Linked DNA regions of Diceros bicornis minor. The main gene of each other region encodes a partner of the protein of the gene in region 2 in a complex. Links are inferred from orthologs where the notes say so. Each region holds a gene or a part of one and is shown on either strand. Other genes may lie near its edges.

The links. The genes of interacting proteins can lie anywhere in the genome.
Region 1: MAP3K20 (region 2) and PKN1 share a complex: the UniProt entries of both Homo sapiens proteins name them as parts of the signaling complex. The link is inferred for Diceros bicornis minor from reciprocal best matches to the Homo sapiens genes MAP3K20 and PKN1.
Region 3: MAP3K20 (region 2) and MAP2K3 share a complex: the UniProt entries of both Homo sapiens proteins name them as parts of the signaling complex. The link is inferred for Diceros bicornis minor from reciprocal best matches to the Homo sapiens genes MAP3K20 and MAP2K3.
Region 4: MAP3K20 (region 2) and AKAP13 share a complex: the UniProt entries of both Homo sapiens proteins name them as parts of the signaling complex. The link is inferred for Diceros bicornis minor from reciprocal best matches to the Homo sapiens genes MAP3K20 and AKAP13.

Annotation. Positions count from the first base shown.
Region 1 is NC_080769.1:3,430,169-3,438,125, reverse strand, and holds the start of PKN1 (serine/threonine-protein kinase N1), read left to right. Parts: upstream 1-4,941; 5' UTR 4,942-4,956; coding exon 4,957-5,172; intron 5,173-6,155; exon of another isoform or gene 6,156-6,261; coding exon of another isoform or gene 6,262-6,282; intron 6,283-6,750; exon of another isoform or gene 6,751-7,255; coding exon of another isoform or gene 7,256-7,312; intron 7,313-7,957. UniProt on the Homo sapiens protein: PKC-related serine/threonine-protein kinase involved in various processes such as regulation of the intermediate filaments of the actin cytoskeleton, cell migration, tumor cell invasion and transcription regulation.
Region 2 is NC_080749.1:54,163,082-54,171,070, forward strand, and holds the start of MAP3K20 (mitogen-activated protein kinase kinase kinase 20), read left to right. Parts: upstream 1-4,975; 5' UTR 4,976-5,071; exon of another isoform or gene 5,072-5,266; intron 5,267-7,989. UniProt on the Homo sapiens protein: Stress-activated component of a protein kinase signal transduction cascade that promotes programmed cell death in response to various stress, such as ribosomal stress, osmotic shock and ionizing radiation.
Region 3 is NC_080757.1:209,322-216,416, reverse strand, and holds the start of MAP2K3 (dual specificity mitogen-activated protein kinase kinase 3), read left to right. Parts: upstream 1-4,079; 5' UTR 4,080-4,189; coding exon 4,190-4,238; intron 4,239-7,095. UniProt on the Homo sapiens protein: Dual specificity kinase. Is activated by cytokines and environmental stress in vivo. Catalyzes the concomitant phosphorylation of a threonine and a tyrosine residue in the MAP kinase p38.
Region 4 is NC_080744.1:89,550,773-89,557,769, forward strand, and holds the start of AKAP13 (A-kinase anchor protein 13), read left to right. Parts: upstream 1-3,981; 5' UTR 3,982-4,181; intron 4,182-6,997. UniProt on the Homo sapiens protein: Scaffold protein that plays an important role in assembling signaling complexes downstream of several types of G protein-coupled receptors.

The sequences.
Region 1 (7,957 bases), on a different chromosome or scaffold from region 2:
GCCTGTGCGTTAGCATCTCCATTGCCGGTGGGTGACCTGATGTCCACAGGGGTCAGTCCCAGGCCCAAGGGGGCAGGATTCCAGCCCAGGCCATCTCCCTCCACTATACTGGGCCACATCCCCTGCAGGTGGAGATAGAGGCCAAAGCCAGGGAACTTGGAAGCCTGCAGAGAACCAGTCCCCGGGGAGAGGGCGGGCGCCCCAGGAAGGCAGGTGGGGGCGCACTCGGATGAATTAGATCATCTGAGTGAGTTATGGAGGAGACCGCAAAGCCAGTTGAGTCCAGTTGAGAAGTCTGGGAAAACAGGAAAACACCCCAGCACACCCACCATCTGTGTGGCCAGGGGGCGCTTCTACTATTTAAAAATATATATATATATACCAATTTTAAATCCAGAACAGATCAGAGCCTCCTAAAGTACATCCACCACCCAAGATGAACACATGTTAACATTTGTCATACTGGCTTGATTCACTTCAGAATTATTTTAAGCTATAAATGACTTTAAACACATCCACCCAAATGCCTAAAAAGAAAAAGACTGACGGCACCAAGGACTAAGCAGGCCTTGGAGCAACCAGATCTCTCCTCATCTGCTGGCGCGCATGTAACAGGAGGAATCACTTTGGAATATGATTTGGCAGTTTGCAATAAGGTGAACCCGGGTTTTGCAACCTGGGCACTGCTGCCGTGTGGGCCACTCGTTCTCTGGGGTGGGGCTGTCCCGTGCATTGTAGGATGCTGAGCAGCATGCCTGGCCTCGAGACACCAGCAGCACCCACCCCCCTCCTACCAGTCATGACAACAAAAAATGTCTCCAGACACTGCTAGTCTCCCTCCTGCGGGAGGGGACAAAATTGCCCTCGATGAGACCCATTAGGTTAAAGGCACCTGCGTCATGACTAAGCAACCCTCCTAGGTAGAGATCTAATAGTTGATGAAACACATTTTGCCCACAAAAAGATACAAGCAATGAACATTCTTTATGCATAAAAGCCCCAAACCAGAAACAACCCAAATGTACATCAACAAGTGAATGGGTAAAGAAACTATGATCCATCCGCACCGTGGAACACCACTAGAAAGGAAAAGCAATAAAAGATTGATGCACACAACATGACAGATGGATCTCAAAAACATCGTGTTCTTTGTGAAGATACTAAAAATCACTGGACTGCACCCTTACAAAAAAGAGTGAGGGGCTGGCCGGGTGGCGTAGCAGTTAAGTTCGAGCTCTCCGCTTTGGCAGCCTGGGGTTCGCAGGTTTGGATCCTGGGCGTGGACATACACACCGCTCATCAAGCCATACTGTGGCGGTGCCCCACATACAAAATAGAGGAAGATGGGCACGGATGTTAGCTTAGGGACAACCTTCCTCAGCAGAAAAAGAAAAAAAAAAAAGAAAAGTGAATTTTATGGTATGTGAATTTCAATAGAAAACAAAACATGTTGAGTGAAAGAATCTGGACATAAAAGAATCATAAAGGGCCGGCCCCGTGGCTTAGCTGTTGAGTGCGCGCGCTCCGCTGCTGGCGGCCCGGGGTCGGGTCCCGGGTGCGCGCCGACGCGCCGCTTCTCTGGCCGTGCTGGGGCCGTGTCCCACGTACAGCGGCTGGAGGGAGGTGCAGCTATGACATGCGGCTATCTGCTGGGGCTTTGGGGGAAAAGATAAATAAAATTATTAAAAAAAAAAAAGAATCATAAAATGATTCCACATGGTATGAAGTTCAAGAACAAACAAAATTAATCTATGATGATAGAATCTGCAGAAGGAGGTTGCAGAGGGCACAACACTTATGCATGGGGGAGTGGACTGGGTGCTGGCTGCAGGGGTGTATACATATATAAAAGTTCATGGAGCACACCCCAAAAGATCTGCGTACTTCACCATGTGTAAGTTACATCTCCATCAAAATAATAATTAAAAATAAAAGACATAACACTTTACAAAGTGGGAGTCACCTGTGTTCACCTCCCCAACCCCATTCCCCTCCCCCACTACAGAAACAACATCCTAAATAAAAATAATGCTACCAAACAATTACTGCTCCCCTATTCTATGCTTTACAAGAATTATTTCATTTAAGCTCCCAGCAACTCTATGAGGTAGGCACCACTACTATCACCCTGTTTTACAGATGAAGAAACTGAGGCACAGGGCAGTGAAGTGACTCGCGCAGGGTATCCCTGTCAGTGTGCCTGGGCATCAGGATGGGAACCCAGGTGGCCTGCCCCCTCAGCTGGGGTGCCAGGCACACTACCAGCCCACTGCTCCAGACCGGTGTGCTAACTAGATACATAGTTTCACTTTCTGTTTTTTAGTAATTGCTCTAAAGTGTATGAAACTGTGACATTTTTTCTACTTGCTGTTTTATCTCCCTTCAACACAATGTTTTGGAGATTAGCCTTGTTGATACATTCAGCTCTTCTGGTGTCAGAGAAATCTACTTCCAGCTCTTTCTCTGGCCCCTACTGGGGGAGACTTGGTTTGCAAAGAGCCTTCCTTATCTTTTGAGAAGCACAATCCTCATTCAGTCCCTCCCCTGCCAAGAATCTGTCAGCAGCTCCACAGTCCTCAGGGTCACGCCTGAACTCCAGGAGGGGCCCGGCCCCTCCAGCCCCACCACCCACAGCCTCTGGAGCCTGCCCCGACTCCAGGCGATCAGCAGTAAGAACGCCAGCAAGTTCCTTCATCCAGCAGCTCTCTATTGAGCACCTTCTTTTTTTCTTTTTTTGGTGAGAAGGATCAGCCCTGAGCTAACATCCATGCTAATCCTCCTCTTTTTGCTGAGGAAGACCGGCTCTGAGCTAACATCTATTGCCAATCTCCTCCTTTTTTCCCCCCAAAGCCCCAGTAGACAGTTGTATGTCCTGGTTGCACATCCTTCTAGTTGCTGTATGTGGGACCCGGCCTCAGCATGGCCAGAGAAGTGGTGGTTGGTGCGCGCCCGGGGTCCGAACCCGGGCCGCCAGCAGCGGAGCGCGCGCACTTAACCGCTGAGCCACGGGCCGGCCCTTGAGCACCTTCTATATGCTAGATCCTGTTCTAGGAGCCGGGGACCCAGCAGTGAACAAGACAGTGATCCCTGCCCTCAGGGAGCTGACATCCTTCTGGTGGAATCAGACAAGAAAGAAAAATAGTAGAGTCAAATTTATTAAAATTTGCAAGAAAGAAAAATCAAACTATGTGAGGGGTAGACTTTGGGAGGGAGGGGTGGGCGCTTGTTTGAGGTGGAGATGCAGTCAAGGAAGACTTCTCTAAGAAGGTGACATCTGAGCAAAGACGGAAATGAAGTAAGGAAGAGAGAATGCCAAGATGAGAAGGAGAAGCCTTGCAAGCAGAGGGAACAGCCCGTGCAAAGGCCTTGAGGTGGGAATGGCATCGGCACATTTGAGGAGCAGCGAGGAGGGCGCGTGGCCCGAGTGGAGTGAGCGAGGGCAGTGGGGTGGGAGAGGAGAGCAGAGGCATCAGGACATGCCGGCTTCTCCCTCACCCACCTGCAGGTCTTTGCTTCTGCTGTTCCTTCTACTAGACACCCTTTTCGTCTTTATCCACTTTGCAAATTCCTAATTTGTCCTTCACAACTCAACCTCAGTGCCAGCCCTTCTGCCTCCTCCACAGGGGCGCGGCTGCCTCCTCAAGGCCTCCATGGGTCTGGGATACCTTTCTCCTGACACCTCAAACTGTGTTCACTCATTCATTCTACAAAGATGGAGCGAGCACAGGCCAGACACTGGGCAATTTCAGAGAGGAGTGACATTTAAAATAAAAAAACAGGGCCATGGGCCAGATACAACACAACATAGGGATTCCCTGGGAAAGTCTCTCAGAGGACATGACATTTAAACAGAGACCTAAATGATCAGAAGAGGCCAACTTTGGAGAGATGTGATGGAGGGGCATTCCAGACCAAGGAATAGCCAGTGCAAAGGCCCTGTGGTTGGAAGTAAGGTGAGAACACTTGAGGAACAGAGGGAAGGCCAGCGTTGCTGGATGGGGAAGAAGGGAGCAGAGGGAAATGCAGCTGGACAGGTGGGCAGAGGCCTGACAGGACCAGCTTGTGAGGGGTGGGAAGTCTTTCCTAAGAGCTCCAGAGAGCCAGGGTCAGGTCTTCCAGCAGGTAGAGGCAGGGGGTGGGCTGTGCTTTAGGGTTTCCAAGGCCCCAGAATGGATTAGAGAGGGGCCAGCGCAGCTGCAGGGAGGTGCTGGGGCAGTTATCATATTTGATTGAAATTGGACAATTGTACAATTAGTCCTTGGCCTCCAAGTTTCAAACTCGACTCTGTTTCCAGTGCCACCAAAGTCCCCAGTGGGCCTCGATAAATATTCACTGAGTAAACGGATGCGGGAAGGTTGGAGTGAGAATTTGGCAGGGTTCCCCAGCTCCATCCGGGGAGGCAGCCTGGAGCCTGGCAGACAGCAGAAGGCCAGTCTCTGGACAAGGTGGCCCAGGCCCTGGGCCACCTGGGAGCCTTCCTCTGCCACATCCTCCCATCCGTAAAATGGGTGGGCTGGAGAATTAGAGGAAGGTACCATGTTCCTCCGGGCAAGGGCCATTAACATCCCGGCTCCATAATTGGGGTGAGGGGCTTCTCTCTGAACCCCAGGAAAAGGCTCAAAAATCGGGAGCGAGAGAATTAGCTCAAAGGGTTATTTAATTCAGTGGATAAATATTCGAGGAACAGCCAGGAGGCTGATGTGGCTGGAGGGAGTGAGCAAGGGCGAGGGGGGAGGTGGGGAGACAGGGCAGGTGAAGGGGACAGATCGTGCAGCGCCTTGTGGGCTGTGGGGAGGACTTGGGCTTTTACTCTGAGGAAGGTGGGAGCCATGGGGCATCTGAGCAGAGGAGGGGCGTGACCTGACTCAGGCGTTCACAGGCGCCCTTGGGCTGTTGTGAGGCAGGCAGACTGCGAGATCGAGGGAGGAGCCGAAAGACCTAGGAGGAGGCGCCTGCATGGGTCCAGGCGAGCGACGGTGGAGAGTGGTCCCGGCGGAGGCCGCGGAAGGCGTGGGAAGAGGGTGGACTCTGCATCGGCATAATTTCTCCTCCCCTTCTTCTCTCTCTTTCTCTGCTAACCGCCCCCCTCCGAAGAGTCGCCCAAAGGAAGAGGGGAAAGAGAGAACGTCGCGCCCTGGTCTCTGGGACGACGCAAAGGGCGCAGGGCCGCAGGTAACCAAGGTGCCTCAGCCCTGCGCGCGCGGCCGGGTCCCTGGAGGGCGCCAGTGCGCAGGCGCCGCCGCCAGGGCGCGCTCCCCGCCCTGCGCCCCGGGACCGCGGTTTGGCTCAGTCCCCGCGTTTCTAAGGGATCGGGGTCGGCCACGAGCCAGCTGCACGCCCCGGAGACCCTGGAGAAGCTCCTCGGAGGCCTCCACCCTCCGCCTCCGCGTGGGCACGAGTCTGCATTTATGGAGCGCCGCCTGCATGCAGCAGCCCCGAAGAAGAGGCTGCTCCCCATCTTACAGCGGGGAGAACTGCGGCTCAGCCACAGGGCCCACCGCGAGTCAGCGACGCAGCTGGGATGCGAACCCCCTTTCATAACGACAATAACGTTAGAAAGGACAGCAGCTGACGTCTCTCGAGCGCTTACCGTGTTCTCAGCACTTGCGTGCAGTCTCATTTACTTTCATCCACACCCGAGGGGTAGGCGGGAAAAGCCTCCCTGTTTCCCAGATGAGGCGCTCGTAGGGTTTGGGGCTCCCCCAAGGCATGGGGCGCCGGCATTTGAACCCCGATCTGCCCAGAGCTTGTCTCCAGGCAGTGGGGAAGCTCCCGTGCCGTGAATGCGTCCTTCCCAGGACGCCTGAACTGGCAAACGCGGGGGGTGAGTCGTTTTTGCTTTTTGAGGGGTCCCGGGAGGCCCCAAAGCCTCCGCCGCTCCCCGCCTTAACGTGGCTCACTCCTCTCTCGGGGTTCCCGCGCGCTCAAACAGGGGACCCCCGCGGACGCAGGAAGAGGCCAGGGCGGGGGGCCCTGCAGGCGGGACCCCGCAGCCCCGGGGGCCGCCGGGAGCCGCGCCCCCTCGCCCCGCCCCCTCCCCGGGCGCCGACCTCGCGGTCACGTGACCGGGCCCGGCGGCCGCTGGGGCCGGAGGGCGCGGCGCGCGGACGCGGCGGCCAGGCCAGGCGGGGCCGGAGCCGAGCAGGCCGGAGCGGGCCGCGCGGGGGCTCGAGCCGCGCCCGCCCTCCCCGCCGCGCGCGGCGCACGCGCGCTCCTGCGCCCTCCCTCCGCGCGGGGACCCCTGGCGGGAGGCGCGAGGACATGGCCAGCGATGCCGTGCAGGTAGGCGCACCTGCGGCCGCCCGCGCCGGGCCCCCCGCCCGCGCGCTGCCGGGACCCCGGGCCCGGGCGGGGTCTCCCGAGCGCCCGGCGCCCCCTCCCTGGGCGGGCACGGCGGGGCCCGCGGGGCCCCCTGCGCGGCAGGTGGAGGTCCGCACGGGGGGGAGCGGGAGGTCCCGCCGCACCCCAAACTCCGCCCCTCCCTGGGAATTAGAGGGGGCGCGCGGAGGCTCGACTTGGGGTGTCTGCGGCTGGCTGTGCGTCCCGTGCCTGTCGCCCCGCCACTCGCCCCCTTCCCCGGCGTCCAGGTCCTGGTTCCCGGCAGGTGCCGCTGCACCTGGGGCAGGTGCCTGGCGCGGGGCCCCGGGAGGGGAGAAGGACGCCGGCCCGTGCCCCTCCCCCGCACAACAGAGCTCCAGCGCCCCCACCTCCGGACTGAGCTTTACGGTGGTCCCGACGCCACCAGATTGGCACCTGTTGGCAGAAGTGCCCGAGTCACCTCATTAGGTCGGGGGACGAGGACCCACACGGCCATCCTCCGGGCTGCCAGGTGGAACCTTGTCCCAGGTGGGGAGTGTCCAGGTCAACAGACTGGGGATTTTCTGCTACCTGGCATCCTACCTGGGCATGGGTGACAGGACTGGGTCACCCCCACGCACACACAAACACACAGAGGCACAGGTGACTGTCACCGACCTGCCGCCCAGCCAGGCTCTCCCTGTGCCATCTCGTGGACATCACAGCCCTGGACTCACCTTCCCCATCTGTGACAAGCAGGGCCAGGGTGACTTCTGACCTTCTGTGGTTCATTGCCCCAGTCTGAGACGTGTCCTGTGCCTGTAGTGCCCCTGATAGTGCCTCACCGTCCCTCCGTCGTGTGGTTGCCATGTAACTGGGTTCTCGTCTCCTTCTGCACCTGCCTCCACCCCCTCTGTGTCTCCCCCGTGACCCCCTGTCCCCCGCCTCAGTCCTGCTGATGGCCTGCCAGCCTTGCCGAGGAGCTGGGCGTATCTGGTGTTGCCGATCACGCAAGGTCAGACCTTGGGGCTGGTGAGGGCCGGGGTCCCTGCGTCTGCCTCGGCCCTGGGGGGTGCTGTGCTGGATTCCCCCGGCACATGCATGCACTTGGTGGGTACGAGACATGACCTGGACCGAGGCTGTGATTCCTGGAGCCGGGCTGGACCCGCACCCTGGCCCCCTTTCCCATCTCTGGCTTGCTCTCTTCTCCCCTCCTGATCATCTTTTTCTCGTGCCTGCTTGGGCCTGCTACCCTGTCCCTCTGTCTGTCCCGACGTGTGCCTATCTGTTCTGTGTCCAGCAAACGGATATCCTGTCCAGATTCCGGAAACGCCCAAAGCATTGAAATCTCCGGACGTGGGGGTCTAGGTCCCTGGCCGCTCTGGGAAGAGGGGGATTCTGGGAGGTGGGCCCTCTGGACCTGGAGTCTCCTGCTTCGTGGTGGGAGAGGAGGAGCAGGGATCCTCCAAGGCTGGGCTAGGCCCCTGATTCATGGGTTCGCCTTGCTGGCCCTCAGGTGACCCCTGCCCTCTGGGCAGGAGTGAGTCACCCAAGAGAAGAGAACACAGGAGGCCGGGCCTCCCTCTCTCCCTCCCTGCTCTGTGTATTTTCAGGCCTCCCCTCAGAGGTGGGGCGGGGGAGCCTGCTCCTGCTCTCCGCC
Region 2 (7,989 bases):
AATAATTTTTAGTGTAGAATATTTCTTATATCAGTGGAAGACTATCCATTGAGAAAAAAGACTTAATTTTCTTTTATAAATAGCTGTGGATTAGAGTACAACAATAGTTCTAATTCTGCTTTTGCTGTGCATTTAAAGCCAAGATGATGACTGTATTGAAAAAGAGGGAAGAGAAAATCAATCGATTATTGCTTCAATGGAGCTCACAACTGCTGATTAGAGAACACAAATGGATTGCATAATAGTAAAATAACTATAAACTGGGTGTGGATTTAAGCCTATGTTAAGACCATTCTTAACTGCATTGTATCTTTAGAAAACATGCATTGAAATTACAACAGCAAATTAAATCTATTCGACCGCAAAATTTAATACATAAGAAATAGCATTTATTAATGATCTGGAAGAGGGAGTAAATACCATGTTAATGAAATTTGCAGATGATACTAAATTGGAAGGTGTTACAAACAACAATGAGGACAGGGGCTTAATACAAATGGACCTTAAAAAGTTAAGGAAAAGCCAATGATGGTGTAAAAAAAAAAAAAACCAAGTAGAACTTATAAAAATATTCACTGGAAAAATTTCAACTTGAGAAAGAATAATACAAAAGAAGTGTGGATGGAAAGTGACTTTGAAATTTGATCAGGATTTTCTGATTATAATAAGCTGGTTAATCCACTCTTGAGAGGTCCTGGGCCAGCTACTGGGAAGTAGTCATTTCTTTACTCTTCTATCCTCTCTCTAGGCAGACCAGAAGCTCTAAATCACGTAGTCCTAGACTTTTTGGAGGCAAGCAAAATGAAGAAAACAGAGTCCAGGCGTATCAGTAAAAAACAAAACAAAAACACAAATGCATGTTGAAGAGAAAGGAATGACTAGTGAAGACACATGATTGGTATCATCTAATGGTGTTTGTAATGAAAAGGAGCCATGAAAAATCTACAGATACCTGAAAATTTTGTATAAAAGATGGTTGATGTCATTTGATTGTTTATAAGCAATTATTAAATGGAACTGAAAATTACCTTATGAAATATAATTCTTGCTTTTCCAGATATCAACAAATAGAAGAGTTCTCCTTCCTAATTGCATATGCCTAAATCCAAGAAATTGGTAATATTCTGAAAGTCATACGGGATGATATCATTGGCCTTCTTAGAACGTCTGGAAGTTTGGGTCTGAGAATTTGGTTTATCCAGGAAAACAGCAAGATATGTCTCCTGGAAGCTCTGGAGACTCTAAGAAACTAAGTAACGTATCTATAATGTTTTACCAGCTCACCTGAGTCTAAGATACAGTTATCTGGGAATGAAAACTCATCTGTATTTATTGGATCTGTTGAAGTAGAAATCTCAATTTCAGAAACTTGACTATTTTCTTAACATTTTATGTTTCCCTTAGATTTCAGTAATGTTCTCTTCGAATAGAATCTGCCACTGCCACACCTGTGATGGAGGAAGAGTAGAGTATTCTTGGTGGCCAGATGAGAATAAGAACTGTTGTAGGAAAATCCCAAGAAGGAGTTGGAGGTGCTGGGAGGAGGGCAGCATGAGGTCCATGAAGATGGGAGGTAATATTGGGGAGGAAAATTTGGATTGGATAATGGAGGGTTTTGAATGTGTCCTAAGGATCTTGGACTTTATTTAGTAGGCAGTGAGGTCTCAATAAAGGTTTTTGAGTTTTGATATGAGGCTTTCATACGTAATATGTTAGATATTCTTTCCAAATACATGTCATTCCATAATAAGATACGCATGCCATCTGAAGGTCGTCATTCAAGTGGTAGAAATGTTGAACAGGGCAGACTAGAGGAGAGAGCCCAGCAACATACCATTAGAAACCCTTCTCTAAGGGAACAATGCACCCAAAGTGTACAGCAGCATTTTGGGGGTACACCTTCTAGGCTGTTTTCAATCTAACAGCAATTTACTGTATTGTATTGTCATCAGTTAAAATCTCTTTCTGAAAGAGAAAGACAAACACTGTATGATCTCACTCATATGTGGAATATAAACCAACACATGGACAGAGAAAACTGGACTGTGGTTACCAGGGCAGTGGGGGTCGGGGGTGGGCACAAGGGGTGAAGGGAGTCATATATGTGGTGATGGACAAACAAAAATGTACAACCCAAAATTTCACAATGTTAGAAACCATTAAAACATCAATTAAAAAAAATCTCTTTCTGATTTATAAAGTCATCATGAGAAACTTTGTCATGTTTCACTGACAGAAGTCCTCACTGTCCTCCATGATCCCAGAAGAGAAAACTGTTTCTCTGGTAGGTCTTGATTTCAATGAATCCATGCTGGTTCCCAGTGTTCACATTCAAAGCAATTACCAGCTCTTCATATAATAATGCCATTTAATAATAACTCTAGGATCTTGCCAGAAAATCATATCAATTATCGTATCTTTTGGGAAGGAGCATATGAGTTTCTTGCAATAAAGTAGGCCAACGGCAAACAGGAGAGATGGCAAGGCTCAATGCTGAAAGGGTATGAAAAACTCCGTTATGATTCACTCAAATTTTAGATCTAGGATTTTAAAGAAGACTAGCACAGCAAACAATAGCAAAGAGTGTGCAGTGCATAGGACTCAAGACTCAGGTAAGTAGGCTGTTATCACACACATGACCATCAGGCAGTATGGTCCCAACTAAGTGACAGCTGCTCAGGGATAGGGCTGGTACCGCATCCCAGATTTTCTGATGTCTGGCGTTGTGCAGGAGGTAAAGCACTAAACTTTGTGTAAAGCTGGTTAATTCTTAGCTATGATCCAGACACAGACTACTCACAATATCAGAGACGGAGAACTGAGATGGCTAGAGCAAATGCTCCTGGGTGCCAGCTTGCATCATAGTTTTTATCACCATATGAGAAGGGAAGGATACTCAGAATGCTCTCTTCCTTTTAAGTTGCCTTTCCTTCTGTCCTTAATAGAATTTATGACTGCATTTCTCTGATCCACTAATAGCTGACAGTTCCAGAATTTCAATTTAAGAGAGCTTAGGGACAAACAGTCTGATTGAATGGGGGGCTAGACCTTTTCTTTACCCTGTATTTGCTATAACTTTAAGTTTTAACTTACATTGCATGTTTATTTTGGAGGGTGTTCTTGGATGAGAGGGTGCTAAGGACTCCAAAGCCACCCTGCTAAGAGTACATCTATTTTTAGCATGGAGACATTTGAAGTAAAGGAATAGGAAAGTTTGATAAGAGAGGTTTGACTAGGTCTCTTTCGCTATTGCGATTTACATTTGTAAACCTATACAAGACTAAGGCTAGAAGCCAGGTCCTCTGACTCCCAGTCCAGTGTCCTTTCCATCACAATCTAGTGCCTTTGAAGGTGACGCGAAATGACTGGAGTTGCCTTATGCCTGGGTCTATGCTAAAGAGCCTTAGTTATCCTTTTAATGGCTAAATGCTTTTTTGTGTGTGTGTGTGAGGAAGATTAGCCCTGAGCGAACATCCGTGCCCATCTTCCTCTACTTTATATGCCAGGCGGCCACAGCATGGCTTGACAAGCAGTGCGTCTGTGTGCGCCCAGGATCCGAACCTGCAAACCCTGGCCTCCGAAAGCCGTGTGCGCGCACTTAACCGCTATGCCCCCGGGGCCGGCCCCCATGGTTAAATGGTTTTTAGAATTATTCGAGTACCTCTATCAGGAATTTCTTTTTAGCATGACAGTTTTCATCAATCCTAATTTCTCAGTTCCCAAAATAGAATCCACCAATGCTAAAATTCCTAGTCCTTATCAAAGGGAAAATTCAGTAATTAATCTAAATCACAGACTCAGTTGTTTTTATTTAACCTATCTTCACCCATCCCTCCACTTTCATATCTTTAACTATATGAATGATTTACAGATTTTATATTTCCCTCCTGACCTCTTTTCTGAATCTCAGTTTCACATTTCAACTGCTGCATCTCTACCTGTTTCTCCTCCCATGACCTCCAACTCAACAGGAAGCCAGCTTCTTCTTAACATACCCCTATTTCTGTCAATGACACCATCGTTCTTCCAGTCACCCAGGTCTGAAATCTTGGCATCATCTCTGACTTGTTCTCTTCCACATTTAGTGGGTCACCAATTTCTGTGGCCTCTTCCTGAAACATGTCTCTGAATTCTATTTCTTCTTTTCTAATTCCATTTTGTACACTCTAACACAAGTCCTCACAATCCCATAACCGGGTAGTGAACAATATCTGCCACTCATGCTGCTTCCCAGTTTTGCCCTCACAACCCATCCTGCAACCGCTGTGGACTGCTCTCTCTCTAAATAACCATGAGAACAAAAACACAGACACCTATTTCACCCCTTTGATTCTAACTTTCCACAGTTCCCCAGTGTCCCCAGATGATAAAATTCACACTCAAAAGCCCTGGATAATACTGCCCATACTCTTGTAACCTCATCTCATTTTTCCTCCACAGACCCATCCTCCCCAATCAACAATTACTCTTCTTGCCAGTGCCCATTCCCACCTTTTGCTCACACCTGGAATGGATTCTAGTCTCCTCGTCTGAATTCGGCTTTGTTCACGTTACCAACCAGGGCAACAGACCATGACCCTGCCTCAAAATTCCAGAGGTATCTACTGATGGTTCCATTGAGGCAGCCTTCAGCCCTGTCTCCCCAGAAATAGCTTTACACTCTGTCACCTTCCCAACTAGATAAACTCCCATAGGGCATGCAGCAGCCTCCCATCTCTTTGTATCCTCAGTGCCTAATTCACAGTAAATGTCGATAAGGATGAGTTGACGGAATAGGTGTTGTTAAAAAGATGTGAAGGTACAAAGGGCAGAGGCGTACCGCCCTCTCCCCGTGCCCTCCGCGAGAGGGCAGGTGCCGTTTGAGGACAGGCGCGCCCCGCTGAGCGCCCCGGGCGGCGGCCGGCAGCCTGGGTGGGTTCCAGGGCGCTGGGGCGCACGGTGCCCCTCGGGGGCGCAGGCCGGGAGGCCCGGGCGCCTTGCCCTCGCCCGCTGGCCGGCAGGTCTGCGCTGCGGCGTGGCCCGCGGGCGTGCTGGGCGCGGGCAGGGAGGCCCAGCCGTTCCGCGCTCGGAGGTAGGTGGTGCTGTTGCCGTGACTGTCTTCCTCATTGGCGCGGGGCGGAGAGGCGGAATGTTCAACTCCTGACTCGGCGGAAGCGTGGGAGCCGCGCGGGCCGCCGTCCTCTCGACCCCCGGCCGCCGTCCCTGCCCTCGCCGCGCGTGGGGCCTCGGCGCCCCGGCTGCTGCTCGCGCCCGGCCCGAGAGCCAGGTAAGGGGCCAGGCCCGAGGCCGCGGAGGGAGGGGAGGGAGGGAGGGAGGCCCGCCGCGCTCGCGAGTCGTCCGGCGTCTCGGGACCGAGGCCCTGCCGGTGTCGGGGCCCGGGAGCCCGGCCGGCCTGCGGGAGGGAGCCCCACCGGGCACCCCCCTCGACCCGGGGCCCGTCGGGCGGCGGCGGCCGGAGCGAGCGTTCCGGGCTCCCGCGGAGTTCCGCGCCGGACCTCAGCCGCGGCCCGGCCCGGAGCGGCTCGGGGCAGTTGGGGCCAGTCCCACGCAGAGTTGGCGCCCGGAAGAGCGGGGCGCAGCCCGGCGCGTCTCCGGCTTCTGGGCCCCGGGCGCGCGGCGCGGATGTGGGCGCCTCCCGGGCCGCGCGGCGCCGCTTCCCCTCCCCGAACGCGGGGCCCCCGCCGGCCGAGCGCGCGACCCCCGGCGGGCAGCGCCGGAGCGCCGGCCTCGCAGTGGGCCCCGCGCACCTCTCGGGAGGCGCAACGCGAGTCTTCCAAATCAGGGCAGGGTGCCGGCCGCTTCCCAGCAGAGGTCTGTGCTTGCGAGTGGAAACCACTAACTTCTGCTTTCCACCGGGCCGGGAGCCGGGTCTCCCGTCCAGAGCGGCCGCTGCCTGCCCTGCCTGGGGCAGCGCGGAGCCCGCGCCCTCGAGCGTCCCCCTGTTCCTTCCCCGGGAGCCCAGGGGGTCCCCTTTGCCGACCGTGTGGCGTCCCCCGGTGCGCGGGCTCGGAGCCCTGCACCAGGCCCGGAGGTGAACGCTGAGGCCGCCGCCACGCCTCGCTTGCTCCTGACGGCTTGCGGAAAAACTTTACTGCAGAACTGGCGAGACGATATCGAATTGCCTAAAAAGATGGGGCAATCCTTGTTAGATTGTTGAAAATGTGTGTTTCTGATGCGCCTCGAAATCTTGCATAAGCACTGTTTATGGGGAACTTAATTACTATTTTTGTTAGTTTCTTTAGTAGTGAAAGCAGTACTGTGTAGTGGCCCGTTCCAATGATGTTACAGTAAGCAGCTCTCTCGTTAATAATGGTGTATTGGAATCGACTTACAGAATTAATTCGAGGATATTTGAGCTAAGATGGTTGTTAAAGTATAGTCATATTTTAACCCTAAAGCCATTTTAGGAGAGCCTTCTTGCTTTCCTGACCACCTCAGGGGAAGTGAACAGCCAGGATTCAGTGGATCCAAACCTACAAGCACGTTATCAAGACGAAAACAAGTGATTCAAGACAGTTAATGTCTTCTTTGTAGTAGGCCCATCTCCACAGTGAAATTTGATGTCGTTTTTTGATTTTCAAAAAAAAATGTGACGGCTGCATTTTAATTATGGTTTTAGTCATTTGAAGAGCCATTGTTTTAAATTCTTGCTACAATAGTGAGAGATTTGAGAGATTGTAAATGAGTATGAATTTAGTTTGTTTGGAAAGAGAGAATTAAGATAAAGAAAAATGGTCTTTCAGAGCAATGTGTACTGTTTATTTTAAGCTTTCACAGTTTAATTCCTACTATAACTTTTTTGAGATTATTTTGGGAGTTTTTTTAAGTGGAAAATATTATTGTTTAAATAAAACGTTTTAGTGGTAATAATTCCAGAGTAAATGACCAAAATGCAATGGCAAGGACATTTTTTCTTGTCTAGGAAAGCAAATAGATGATTGATTACTTTTTCTTATTCTTTAGGGAACACGTAAGGACACATTAAAAAGAGAGAGAGGGAAATATCCAAATATTAAGCACGAGGACTTGGATCTAAAAATGGATGGTCAAAGATCTTGGGAACTAAGGGACCTTCTTGCCAAATAAGGAGACTTGGCAAGTTGCACTGTACATTTTAAGTTAGCACAAGAGTGAGTGTTATTGGCAATATATTGGCTGTGTGCCTATCTGGAATGAGCAGCAAAACTGACTTTGATAGGGTTACAAAATTATAAACAGGAGTTATGAGGGGAGTGGAGTGAATAATGTAGTCATCAAAGAAAACACTAGAGAAATTACAATGATATTTTGTGAAAAGAGGTCAACATAGAGTGAAGCTATTAGTGTGGAGTGAAAGAGAAAAATGGACAGTTGATTTTAGAAATTGATAGATTCAGAGAAAAGAGAGGAGAGAATCAATGATTTTTTTTTGAAAACCAGAAAAACAGTGTTTGTGGTGATATAGTACTTCTTGGAATAAGATAGCCTTATATCTGTATCCAGAGATGTTGGAAATAAAAATCAATTTGGATCATTTGTTTTCCATTTTATTCTACCCAGGACAGATTGACAGGGAGGGTGTCTTGTCTATCTAAATGTAATAGGAACAGCTAAGGCACCTTTTGGTCTTACTGCCAGGAAGATTTAGGTTACTTCTTTTGAGGCTGTTAACCTTGCCCCACTACACGCAAATAAGCAGAGATCCAGCTGTGACCAGAAAACTGTACCTGTTAAGGAAAGAGAACTATAAATTCGAAAGCTTAGATTGGTTTGACTGATACATGGGTGCTTTTGTGTCCGACCCTCCTACAGACAGCTGAAGCATCGATTATGCCCTAATAGCAGTTAAATAATCCCAACACACAAGAAGATTCTGTGAGAACAAAGCAGCCACGCATTTGACACCTTAACCCCATGTCGCAATTGAGGAAATTAAAGCCTCGAATTGAACTTTAGGTGGATGATAAGCAATCTAGTGATTACTGTAATAAGAAAAGGATCTGTTTAAAA
Region 3 (7,095 bases), on a different chromosome or scaffold from region 2:
ATTTTGGGCTGGGAGTGGCTGGACTGGGGAGACATCTGGGGAAGTTCCTCACTTGGGGAGCCTTGGCCGGTTTGGAGCTTCGCCAGCCCTGTTTTGGAAGGTTCTCTCTGGCTGCAGTGTGGAGGAGCTGGGGGCAGGGAGCACAGGGAGGAGGAGGAGGAGCAGAGAGGGTTGCTGGCACTGCCCAGGGCCCCACAGAGTGACCAGCTCACGCCCAGCAGGACTGGTCACCAGAGGGCGCTGTGGGCCAGCAAGCCATGGGGGCGCCTGCGGTGACAGGGCGGTGTGGGCACAGCTGTGCACATGGAGCGTGGCTGTGAACATGCCTGAGACGGCGTGGCCACTCCCTGTGCACATGTGTGCACGTGCTTGTGCACCCTGCTGTGTTCATGAGTGTGTGCGTGTTATTTGGGGGTATGTGGACTTACACAGATGTGAAAGGGGGCACGTGGGGGTGGGACCATGCAAGGGTGTGAGAGCAAGCAGGTTCAAGGGGCGCATGTAGGTGAGAACAGGGGCCCACTTACCTCTCACTACTCCAGCTGTGCTCTTACTCACCTACAAACCATCCACCTCGGGGCCCTTGCACATGCTGTTCCCTCTGCTGGGCATGCTCTTCCCCCAGAATCCTCATGACTCCTTCACCTCCTCAGATCTGGGTTACACGTCACCTTCCAGGGAGGCCTCTCCCGACCTTCCTCTTTAAAATTACGGCCCCCACCTCCAGACGCACTCCCTGCTGCGACCCTCCTTGTCCCCATGCACTGATCCTCTGACGGTCTGTAATCTGACTCAGGCATTCTGCTCGTCTGGCTCGCCCACCAGGCGTCACCTCCCGAGGGCAAGTCCTGTTCAACTCTGTGCCCTCAGCTCAAGGCACACAGTGAGTGCTCAATGAGTGGTTGTTGAACGAATGAATGAATGAATGGACTTCCCCCGTCCTGGGCTCAGACCGTCTTCTCTCTCCAGCCCTCTGTCGCCCCAGCTCACACTCACATCCCGACTTTGGCCAGCCCCTTTCCACGCTGTGCCTCGCAGTTTCCGAGTGTACAGAGGGGCCTGTTTGGGACTTTTCTCCCGGGAGTCAGGGTTGGAGGCAGCCTGTTGTGGCCGTGTCAGACGCCCTCTGGTTTCCGAGGGTCGCGGAGGTCCCCAGCTTCTCAGTGCTCCTTAGAGGCAGAGGGAGGCCGGCAGATGTTGCTGCAGCCAGCTGGGAAGAGAAACAGGCGCTGCGGGGGTGCTCCCCGCCCGCAGCAGTGCAGCTCTGCCCCCCAGCCCGGCCTCACGCGGGGCCCCTTGCGCACCTCCCACACTCTCTAGGAGACTCGTGCTTGCTTCTCTGCCTGACAACTCCTACTGGTCCTTAAAGGCCCAGTCTCAAAGTCACCTCCTCTGAGGAGCCTTCCCTGACCTCACCCAGGTGGAGTCCGGCACCCTCCTCGGACTCTTGCTCATGCATCTATTTATAGCACCCCACACGGAGTTGTGTGACTCTCGGGCTGTCTGTCAGGCTCCCTGACTAACCGTCAGCTCCTCCGACTGGAGGGCCTCGTCTGAGTCAGGCGGGCGCCTGGGAGGCTGGCCTGGAACCAGAGTCATTTCGTAGATGTCTGTGGCATGCTTTCCGTCCTCCCTTTGTTCATTCCTCAAATATTTACTAGGCGCCTACTATGTGCCAGGCCCTGGGCTGTGCATCAGGAATGCAGCAGAGAAGGAGTTGGCAAGATTCCTGCCCCGGAAGGGCCCCCGGTCTAGAGGGAGAGCTGGGTTAAAAGCAGAGTCAACAGGAAAGGCACCGGCGGCACCAGTGCTGTGCAGAGAGTTAGAATGGATTTGGGGCTTGACGGAAAGGCCTCAGAGGGGAGTTCACTGAAGAGGAGACCTTCAGGATGAAAGGGAACCAGCCCCAGAAATCACGGTGGTGGCGGGGGAAGATGTTCCAGGCAGAGGGAACAGCAAGGGCAAAGGCCCTGAGGCAGGACCAGTATTGGTATGTCCAATGGGCAGCACTAAGACTCTTGAACATAGTGAGGAGCAGAGAGGACGAGGGGAGCATGGGAGGAGCAGAAGTCCCCGAGGTTGGCGGGGGCCGGAACCCAGACCACTCGCCGGATCAGGCCTGCAGTCCTGGTAGAGAGGCAGCTGCTGCCGGGTGCCCATTTGACACAAGGACGGGCAGCAGGTCTTGGGGTGAAATGACTGGCCTAAGGTCACACGGCCCATTTTGTACAGAGTGCTCTGGGCCACTCCAGACACCCAGGAGCGGTAAGGTTGCAAGGGCTTCCTGTAGGAGGTGGCCCACAGTGTGTTTACAAACATTTCCTGGGCACCTAGTGAGTGCCAGGCCCTGACCCAGCCACTGCCAAGCCTGACCTCATGAACCAGTTTCAGAGAGGCCTCATTGTCCCCATGGGCCAGGTGAGTAACCCGGGCAGGGAGCTGCTCAGTGACCCTGTGCAGTGGCAGAGTTGGCACTGGAACCCATACCTGAGTCCACAGCTCATGACTTCCTGCCCACTGCCTGGAAAGGGTGAGCGGGGGATGCAGGAAGAGAATAATGGTAATTATGAGGTCTCCCTCTTATCTCATCTGGCCCTCCCCATCACTGTGTGGGCAGGTCCCGCGGGGAAACCCCCTGTTTTATAAACACACAAGCAGAGGTCATCCCCCTGCTCTAAGCATTTCTGGCAGGTGGTTGCACCTGCTTCCCACAGGTGAGCACTGGAGTAGGACACACTCATGCCTGCTGGAGGTGAGGGACTGACCCCTTGACCTTTGCCAGGCGCTTCCTGTCCTCACTAGCCCGTGGCTTTCCAACCGAGTCACCTGGTCTCACTGCCAGATTGGTCAGTAGCTCCTGAAATCCCTGGAGGCCTGGCCCGGTCTGGCCACTGTATGGATGAGCCGACTGAGACCCCACGCGGGAAGGAGAGAACCTACGGAGGGAGCCGGGATGAGACCCTGGTCAAGGCTTGCCAAGTGGAGTAAAATGCATTGAAATACCATTTTCCTCCCTCCGAGACTCAGTTTCCCCATGGGTAGAACGGAGGGCAGTGACGACACAACCATTAAAACTACCTTTACTGACTTCTCCCGGGGTACCCCACGTTCACAACTGTATCACCACCCGCAGCGCGGCGCCGACACTGGGTGGGCGCTCGCTGGCTGTTTGCTGAAGCGCACAGCCGGGCATTGTGCTAAGCCCTTTGCGACATTCAGTCAACAAACGTTTACCGAGTGTCCGCGAAAGCCCGGGCCCCTTCTCACCGGCGCGCCAGGCTGTAGGGCTATGATGGTCACTCTTACAGGGGCGAAAACGGGGGCCCGGGGGCTACCTGACCTGCCCAAGGTCATCCCGCTAGCAAGCAGACAGTCGGGGTCTGAACCCAGGTCTCACCCCGGCGGGGCCCTTTTAACCCCTCCGCAGGCCCCGTCTGCACACACTTCTCGCAGTGGGTGGCCCTGGGGCCACCCGAGAGGATCTGTGGCTTCTCCGGATGAGGCACCGGCGAGGCTCGCGCGGGCTCTGCGCGCCGGGGACCGGGGGGCGCGGAGGCGCGGGGCGCGGGGCCGAAGGCGGGGCGCGGGATCGGGCAGGGGCGCGGGGCGCAGTGCCTGACGCAGGGCGCGGGGGTGGGGGCCGGACAAGGGCGCGGGGGTGGGGGCCGGACAGGGGCGCGCGGCGCGGGGTCGAAGGCAGGGCGCAGGGCCGGGCAGGGGCGCGGAGCGCGGGGCGCGGGGCCGGGCAGGGGCGCGGGGCCGAAGGGAGGGCGCGGGGCACGGGGCTGGAGGCCGGGGGGCACCTGGCTCTCCCGGGAGGGGCGGAGCCCGGCCGGCCCCGGTTTCCCGGGTGGAGGCGGGCTTGACAGGCAGCGGGAGGAGCCGGATCCGGGCCCGCGGGGGCGGAGCTCGCGCTTGACGGGCATGGCCAGGGCGGCGTCTGATAGGCGGGGGACGGGCCCGGAGACTGGCGGACCAATGGGCGCCCGGAGGCGGGGCCTGCGTCGGCGCCGTCCGGCCGGGCCCCGCGGCGCTGCCCAGTCCGGCCCGGCGCCGCCCGTGGGAGCGCGTCTCCGCTGCCTCTGCCCGCCGTGCCCGGGCCGTCTGCCCGCGGCCATGAGCTCGCTCCGCCCGGGCCGAGCCCGCCGCCCTCTGGAGTAGCCCCCGCCGCCGCGGACCCGCCCGCACCATGGAGTCGCCCGCCTCGAGCCAGCCCGCCGGCCTGCCCGCGGCCAAAGGTAGGCGCGCCGGCCGGGCCCGCGCCGCGAACCCCGGCCTCCGGGTGGTCCCGGGCAGCGCCGCGGCCCAGAACCTCTTCCGATTCGGGGGCCGCTCCCAGCCGAGGACCTCACCTGGACCCGCGGCTTAGGCCTGGGGACTGCACCCAGGCCCGCACCCAGGCGAGGATCTCGTTCTGATCTCCCCGCTCCGGGTCGGGAACCTCTCTCTGACCTCCTCATTTAGGCCTTAACTGCACCCTGGACAGGAACTCTCCCAGTCTGGGCCCCTCAGCTGGACCCAGGTGGGATTCACTCTGATCCTGCACCCGGCGCCCTTCACTCCTGGGGCTGGATTTAACGGACTCCCCATCCGGGCCCCAGTGATGCTCCGTGGCTGGGGATCCCACTGTAACCCCCCCATGTGGGTGCCCTGGCTACACTCCAGCTCAGAACTCCCTGTTCTTCCCCAACTCTGCATCCTTGCAGGCCCCACATTGCCCCATCCTGGCCCCGCCTGCACCCCATCCTGCAGCCCCCGGCCTCTCTTGGCTCTCACCCACCCTAATGCACAGCCCCCCTCCATCAGCTTCTCCTGTCTTCACTTGCAAGCCTCCCTCTGCACTTGGGGAGCTCACCCCCTCCTGTGCCCCAGTGTCTCCAGGGTTGATTGCTACCAGGCCTGTGTCTGTTGCCCATGGGTCCTGGGCCAACTGCCAGGCCGGGTGCTGGCTGGGCAATGGGCTTGCTCTTGTCTTCTCCAAGTAGCCGGCCTTCCTGGAAATTTCTGTGAGGTGGCGGCTGCGGCAGCAGGATTTGTCATGCAGAGGGGGGAGGCCGAGACTTGGAGGGTGAGAGGGGGATTTTTTGCAGGAAGAGGAAAGGATGTTTTTGGCCTGCCGGAGTCACAGCAGGCTGGGTTGTGGGAGCGATTTCCACACCGGACATAGCTGCAATGAATGGGCTGCCTCCTGGCTCTCTCAGCCTGCTGCTGCCTCACCCCAGCGACACGAGTGTCTGTGGCCTCAGTCTCCCTGTCTGTGAAGTGGGGGTAATCACGCCTCTTTTCTGTGGACTTCTGGAGTATGATGTGAGGTAGTGAATACTAAGGAGTTGTAAGCAAGCGAGGGTGGTGAGATGAAGAGCTCAGCATGGCTCCTGGCGCATAGTAGGTACTTAGGAAGGGACAGGTACCAGGCATCTTGTTCTTGTTACCATTTTCCTTACTGGAAAGGCCTCAGCCATGCATGGTCAAGGTCTTGCCTCTGTTTGGGTTGCAGCTGTAGAGTGAGGGGGAGAAAGGTAACAGCTGGCACTTAGTGGGCCCCTAATCAGGGGTTGTCCCTACCTCTCTTTCTCTAGAGGCGCCCAGGCAGTGGGAGGGCATGTGGGGGCCGGGGGAGGGTGTGGATCCTTCCCTGCTCCTGCTGTGGGCTGTGGGCCAGAGCCCAGCCGGCCGGCGGGTGGGCAGGATAATTATGTCTTACATAAGTGGGAGGCCTGGGAGGCCGGATCCCTGACCATTGCCCAACCACCGTGAGTAACTTGGGAGGCACTCACGGGGGGAGGTGGCTGGGGAGGGACTTGTCCTGCGCAGACCTCGTGGAGCCTGGGAACCGGGAAGTCGCAAGCTTCTCCACTGTGCAGAACTGTGAAATCAGACACTTCTCCTCCTCTCCAGCTTGGGGTTTACTCGTGGCTCGGTCAGTGCTGTGGGACTTAGGGCAGGTCCCTCAGCCTCTCTGGGCCACAGTGTTTTCATGGACGGAAGGAAGAGGTTGGAAGCAGTGTTTGTTTTTGAAGGCCCTTTTAGCTCTTCCAGGCAGGGAATGCTTCATCCAAATAAAAGTTCAAGTTGCAGGGTTGTGAAGGGAGGGTGATCATGGATGTGAAGGGAAAAAGCACTTTGGGGAGACGCTGCTTGATCCCCGTATGCTCTGTGACTTGAGTCCTGGCATTGCCCTTTCTGAGCCTCTCTGCAAAGAGAGGACCAAGATGAATTTCCAGTTTGTGGGTCCAGGTAACACATGACCCACAAACTGGAAATTGGGTGGGCTGGATGGAGGGTCAGGGGCCTCGCCAGGACCCAGGGACCCTCTCAGCCTCTTTGTGGTCTGCGGAAGGATGTGGTGGGGAACCACAATGTCCCCTTGCCCAGAATCCCAAGACCTCTCACTTACCAAGTTGTTTTCCATGTGTCGTGCGCTCTCCTGATTATTCCTTGCAGCCCCATTTACGATGAGGAAACTGGCTCAGAGGCGTTCAGTGCCGTGCCTGAGGTCACACAGCTGTGACAGATGGAGCTAGGGTTCCATCCAGGGCTGTGTGTCTCCGGAGGTCTCCTCAGTGCTCCTCTGTGTCCCATTCCTGGGCTGGGTACTTGAGTTGGATGGATGGGACACTCCCCTGCACCCTATTACCCCTCGGTCCAGTCAGTGTCCCTCCAGGCCCTGCCGGACCTGGAGGATGGACTGAGCCAGAGGTGATGCCTCTTGGGTGCACAGCCCTGTACGGTTGGCACATGTCATACTTGTTTCGGTCTGACCCATTTGACAGATGACAAAACCGAGGTCAGACAGAGGCAGTGGTGGGACCGAGTCCACAGAGCCAAGGCTCATCTTTGTCCTCCCCACCCTGGCCTGGGCCCCGGCCTCGTGCTCTCTCCGCCTTCTCAGAGGAATTTGAACAAAGCCGGGCGTGGTTGGCACCTGACCTTAAGGCACTTTACCTTTGAGCTTCCTGCCTGGCAGCAGGGGCCCTGCCCGTCCCGTCCGGGGCCATGGGCCCGTGGAGTTTTCCGTGAGTGCACAAGGCCGCAGGCCCCAGAGCCCGGCGGGTTTCCCCGGCCTCCTCGCCCACATGCCGTCTTTGGCTGGGG
Region 4 (6,997 bases), on a different chromosome or scaffold from region 2:
CGGGAACTACGGCCCCAGGCACATGTTGTGGTTTGGAACGAACTCCCAGATGAAGACTCTGTATCAGAATCAATCAACTTGACCTGTGCTGTCCAGTACAGCAGCCACCAGCCACACGGGGCTTTTGAGCATTTGAAATGTGGCTAGTCTGAATTGAGATGTGCTGTATAAGTGTAAAATACACACTGGATTATTTTGAAGACTTAGTATGACAAAAAGAATGTAAAATACCTTATTAATAAATTTTTATATGGATTACATGTTGAAATTATAATGTTTGGGATATATTTGGTGAAATAAAATATCATTAAAATTAATTTTACCTGTTTCTTTTTACTTTTTGAATGTGGCTACTAGAAAATTTTAAATCACATGTGTGGCTCACCATATATTTCTATTGGACAGCGCTGGGCTTGACATTGAGGAAGGCAGGTAATCTCTGCCACACAGGAAGTGAAACTTTATCTCTGGACTGCAAAACCTCCTACCTGGAGCCAGGTTTCTCTTAGAGATTCCCCTGTCCCCCATCCTCATCCTCATCTCCTACTTAAATTCAGCCTAAGCACACAGTACCAGCGTGATCTTTCTAGGATGGAAATCTGTCCTCATCATTGTTCCATTGCTTACAATCTGTTGAGGGTTTCTCTTGGCCTTTCAGAATAAAGACGGAACTCCTTAGCAGGGCAGCATCACCTGGCCTCCGCTGCCTTCCTTCAGCTTCACCGCCTACCCCTTCCCCCTCCAGTTTCTTGTGTGTGCTGTGTTTCTGATACCTCCATGTCTTTGAATTTGCTCTTCCTTTTTCTGGGAATGTCCTCAGCTACCCGCACACACACACACAAGCCTCCTGCACTACCCCACTGTTCTTTCCTTGGTTGATTGGCTTCCAAGACATAGCTCATCTGTCACATCCTCCTGGATGTCTCCCTTGAACTTTCACCCTTCAAGTAGAAGTTCCTCTCTCTCTGCCCCCTGCCACCCTGCATTTGCCTCTGTAAGGGCATTTACACATCCGATTTCTTGCTGGTTTGCTCGCCTGTTTCCCTCACTTGGCTGTGAGTTCCTTAAAGGCAAGAACCTTGCTCTTCATCTCTCCAATCCCAGGACCAAGCCTAAGACCTGGCACAAAGTAAACTCTCAATAGCTGTTTGCTAATTGAATTGAGAAGCCAGTCAGGGAATTGACCGGAAATAATCAGCTCGTGGGTGGTTGTATTTAAATAGAACTCAAGTGATGGAAACCCCCACTCTGACAGCCTTATTGGCTCACATGATGGAAAAGTCTATGGGTCGTTCTAGCTTCAGGCATTGCTAGATTCAGCAGTTTGATCAATGTCACTAAGACATTATTTTTCATCATCTCTTTCTTTTCCATCGTGCTGCCTCCATTCGAAGAGACTCTTTCCTCATGGCGACAAGGGCTGGCAAGCTTATCCTTCCAGGTTCTAGTTGAGAAAGACAAAGTCAGCTATCCCGACAGTTCAAACTGAGGGTAGAATTTACTCCTATTGTCCCCGATTGGCCTGTTTGGGGTCATGTGCCCCACCTTGAATCAATCATTATTGCCTGTGGATGGGATGCATTGATTGGCTCAGGTGTGATCACATGCTGAAGCCATGGAATTGGGGTCCTGGTGGAGTCCGATTCATCCCAAACAGGGGGCTGAAAGTGGAAGTTCCCTCAAAAAAATGTCAGGGTACTATTTGTACCACAAAAACAGTAAAATGTCCTCTGCTGCAAAAGGAGAGCCCTGGGATAAGTCTGTTCAGTGCTTCTTCTTTTACAAAAGTGGACATTTTAGGGACCATGGGTCTCAAGAGAAATTCATATTCTTACAACTGTGTTGATTTTGTTTTTTCCTTGCTTTGGCATTTCCAGGGACTCTGTAAAATGGAGTTTGGGCTTGCTATATTCTTAGGTATTATAACCTGTGTAAATCAATTAGAGAGCTATAAGTCAACTGGAGAGATAATTCAGAGATAGTTCAGAGATACAAAATCTTACCACTACTTGGTAAGGCCCTGGTATATTTCCTGGCTTGTAAACTTACTCATGGAAAGTGAGAGAGTTACTAAACCCAAAGTCTCTTTCTGGTGAAATAGGGCACACTGGGTAGAGATATTTGGTGTTCCTTGGAAGAACAAATCTTCAGTATCAGGCACACTCAGCTTGAGGGTACCTCACAGCAGCTGCTTCTGTACAAATTACTTCATGCAAACTTTTATTGAGTTCCTACCCTTCCTACAGGTACTATAATAGGTGCAGGAGAGAGAGGGGTGAACAAAACAGACTTCAGCTTACATTATAGAGGGTGAGATACCCAATAATCACACACAAGATACTTTCAGATTGGGATAAATGCTACGAAAAAATTTCAGTAATATGAATGAGAGGGACTAGATGATAGTGGGTTATTTTAGATAGGCCAGCCAAAGACCTTTTCTCTGAGGAGGGACATTAGAGCTGTTATCTGAATGATGAGAAAGTGCCAGCCATGCAGATAACTACTTAGGATTTCCCAAAGAAGACGGAGGGCTCAGCTGTCTGGGGAATTTAGAGCAGACCCTTGCTCCTCAAAGTGAGGTCCCAGACTATCACCTGGGAGCTTGTTGGAAATGCAGAATCCCAGATCCCACCCCAGACCTACTGAATCAGAATCCACATTTAACAAAATCTCCTAGATGATTTGTAGGCACAGTAAAGTTTGAAAAGTGCTGGACTCTGGACCCTTTTTGCAGCCTACTGGAAAGGTGTAAATTCTGCTGAGGCAGGGAGCAGGCAATGGTGTTGTCAGCAGTCACTAGAAAGATGACATGGTAACTAATTTGCTGCTGCCTCTGTAACAGACCAGCCAGGCTCTAAGAGAAGACCATGGATTATCACACATTAGGCTTAAGTGATTTTTAGGTTAGCCCCCTTGCTTTTCAGGAGACTGAAGTTCTTTGAGGAGGAGTGACCTGAGCATAGTGGGCTCCTTGGTGGCAGAGTCAGGACTAGGATGTAGGAGTTGCCTCTCTTTGTGTCACCTTTTAAATATTGATCAGGACAGGTTAGAGTGATGTGGAGGAGAGTGAGCAGCATGACGAGGTGATTGGGAAATAATGTCACATGAAGCACCAGGAATGTTTGCCCTTGGTTTTTTCACCTGTGAGGGTGAATTAAGAAAATATATGTGAGAACCAGATCCACTTACAGGAAAGCATATTTTAGCTCTAGGCTAACTAACGAAGTAATGATTTGACATGATAGGCATTTTCCCCCTAATACGCATTAAAATAAACACACAATTATCAAAATGAAGAAGTTTCTTCGTGTACCAGTGGACCACATTTTGTTTCTCAAAAGCCACCAGATGAGTTCTGAAGTCCTTTGCAACTGGAAGAATGGACGATTTTGTGGCGATCAAGCAGCCAAAAGTTCACAGAACGCACTGTCACAATCCTGATGCCGCCATAGACCCACCCATCCACCCATCTAAAACACTTGTTGAACACCTAGCAATGACTCTCCTAGGCCCTGGACACAGTGAAGACTAAACTCCACTTTCTGATTCCAACCGGAGGGAAATAGAAGAGTAAATGATTTCGGTATGTGTGGTATAAAGTGCTACAGCTCAGGTAAGCACCGGCACACAGAGGAAGGGCGGTTTCCGGACATAGGGCGGAAAGGAGAGCGTGGGTGGGCATTTCCCAGAGCAGCCTCTGCCAGCCACCCCACTTTGATCACTTTGCCGCCGCGCAGCAGCGGCGGCGGTCAACCTCAACCTTCCTTAGCAACATGAACGCTCCGCCCAGCTGCCTTCCCATTGGTCTCACGGAGCTTGATGGGCAGCTCTACCGTGCAATCCCAGCTCGTGGTCCTTGGCTCCGCGCTTACTCATGGGAGGGCTCGTAGGCGTTACCGCCCTCCCCAGGTGCCCCGCCCAGCCCCGAGCTGCTTGCGGCGCATGCGCTGGCGGGCTGGGGCTGTGTGCAGGGCCAGCGCGGAGCCGGAGCAGCCGCGGTGGAGCGCCTGGGCTTCGCCGAGACCGCCGTGCCCGCTCTTCGCTTCTGCTCCCGCAGCTACGAGCCGCCGCCGCCGCCGCCGCCGCCGCCGGGGTAGCGGCCGCCTATTGTCTTTCTCTGCGGCGAAGGTGCGGAGCTGTTCCAGCTCAGCCCGCGGGGGAGCCCCGGGCGCCGCACGGTGAGAGCGCAACTTAGTTGGCGGAGTTGGGGGAAGTTTTGTGGTTTGAGGAGGGGTCGCGGGCGGAGAGGACGGGCCCTTCCCCCTAAGGCCGCTCCTCGGGGCGGGGGCCCGGAGGGGGGCGGGGTCCGGGATGAATGGGCGGCCGCGGGGCGCCCGCCGGCTCTGCGGCCCCCTCCTCCCTCCGCGGCCACCCTCACGCATTGTCTGCTCCCGGGCCCCGCGCGCCTCCCGGCTCCCGCAGCCCAACTTGGGGGCCGCCGCCACGCCGGGGTGGGGGGCGCGGCCGCCTTGCACGGCGTGAGTGCCCCTTCAGGCGCCCCCGGGCCACGCGAGGCCTGAACCCTCGGCCCCAGGCTTCCCTGGTCGGCTCCTCCGTGGGCCCCTCCCGTCCGACGGAGTCCGCGAACAAGTGTTGCGGACGCGAGGGAGCGGCTCCCCGGGGCCGGCGGGGACCGTAAACACGCCGGGCGCCCGCCTTCGGGGGCGCGGCCGGGGACCCGCGCGGGTCGGAGACGTGCAGCCGGAGGGGACCCGCTCCGGGGCCGTGCAGTGGGCTCAACTCTACTGAGTTCAAGTGCAGCCGTACTTGGAGACCAAACAAAACATTCTTTTTGTAAATACGGCTTACTGACACTTTTGTTTTTTTTTGCAAAGTCAACTAGTATGTGAAGAGTTTTAAAAGAATATGGGGAAAACCCTCAAAATTTTTTTTTCATCTGAAGAAAGAATAGACAGGTTTTTGGATACAGTTTTTACAGAAAAATGACTCCATCACATTAAGTTTCTAGATCTTTCTGTGCACTCAGGAATTCACAATGAAAGTTGGATTGAGCAATATTTTGGTGTTCATTCTCAGCTTTTACACTCTTCGGTGAAGTTATTTTGGGAGTTTATTGCCTCAGGCGTATAGAAGTAAAGGAAAAAAATGTGTGCCTTTTTTTCTTATAACCCCCCCCCCCCTTTTATTTTCAGAAGCAGCAGCTTATACTGTTTTTCTAAACCGTTGGATTTCCCGGATCAGGACAAATGCTACCGTTTTTGAAAGATCATTTTTTGCAAGTTTGTAAAGGAGTTATGATGAGCTGAGATAAATCACTGTTACCGTTCTTGTATTCCTTCGTGGTCTCTTGGGGGTTTGCAGACTGCATTAAGTACAAGGCTTATCAAGTTTTGGGTGCATCGATTCTACTGAATTTGCTTCATTTGGCTTATGATGTGAGAATAATTCTGTTTAAATCTCCCAGATGGAAGTAGCTTAAATGTCTGTCACATTTGTAGTGGAACAAAATGACCAGAATGTGTTAATATCAGTTGTTATATTCCTTTGCCATCTGCTAAATTAAAAAGAAGAATTTGAGAAATACTGTGTGTCAATTTGCTTTGATTGATTTCTCATGCTAAGTGAGTAATGTAGAGAAGCTTTCCTGGGTTTTTCTGGTTTGGTTGGCTGCATTTTGCTTTGAAAAACCAGCTTTCTTCACCTGATGAAGCTCAAGAAGAATGTCCTTATGGCATAAGCATTGTACTTTTGAACTACAGCAACAAGGTGACTTTTAGGAGTCACAGTGCTTGCTCTCAGGGCTTTCCTTCCTGGTTGTGTGGTTGTGTGTGCCTGTGTGGGTGGATTGTGGGGAGGGAGCTTGACAGGTTGGAAGGGGTTGTCAGGGAGGGACATAATATAAACAAGTATTACTTACAACATAATGTGACAGCTAGGCCAGTTGCTTTCTTTCTCTAAGCTGTGATAGCATGTTATACATACTTTTGTTTTAGGATTTCTAACAGTTCATTTATTTGCTTGACTAACGGTAACTGTATATGTAGTATAAAGGGACTTCTCTTCTAGTCTAACTCCTTGAGGGCTGTGATGGGCCTTATTTCTTATTTAGCTTTGTACCCTCTTTGCCAGGAAGGGGTCTTAACACAGTGCAGGTGTCCAGTATGTGTTTGAGTTGGGTGAAGTGCTTTGTATTAGCTAGTGGTAGTGCACATAGAACCACTAACCCTGGGGACTTGTCCAAAATAACACTTCAGTTGCTGAAATGTGATGAAATTTAGTTTATTTCGAAAAGGATTCCTAACCTTTCTCTTATCCTGTTAATTGTTGAAAAGAAGTGAGGTTTAAATAGTGCACTGTGGATTTTGAAAACTAGTTCTGATTCAGAAATTTTCTCCGTTTTTTGGTGAAATGATTAAGAATCATTTCTGAATAAATCTGAATCTGAATAAACCTGAATAAACCCACTCACATCTCTGCCTATTCCTCTGTTGTGAAGTGAGGAGGTAGCACAGTTTAGAAGCATGTGCATTCTTTGGAGCGAGGTAAATTTGAGTTCAGATCCCCACATTGACTAGTTATGTAGCCTTGAGCAGGTCCCTTATCCTCTCAGAGCTTTGGTTTCCTACTCTGTAAGGTGTAGTAATATACTTTGCAGTATTCTTAGGAATAAGTGAAACTATGGAGGTACTTAATAGTGGGCCTAACATTAAGTAGGGCCTATTACCTGGTAGCTATACTGATAATTTGATAACACTTTTTATATGACTTAGAAAAGCATTTTTAAAAGTCTGGTGCTTCTAAGTGTAGTGGTTTAGCTGTTTCTTTCAGAAAGAAGGAATCCCTCTGAGAATTGAGTCTTAATCAATGCAAAAGTTTTTTTAAGGTGCTAGTTGCACTGAATGTTAATAGAAACAGTGGTTTTATCCTCTCAGTCGCCTGTTAGTCTTTGGGAGGGCCTTGCAGAGTGGCTTGGTTGGGTAGAACTCTGCATTTATAGTGTTGAGGAAATGGTGAGAGATGGATTGTTTTCCAC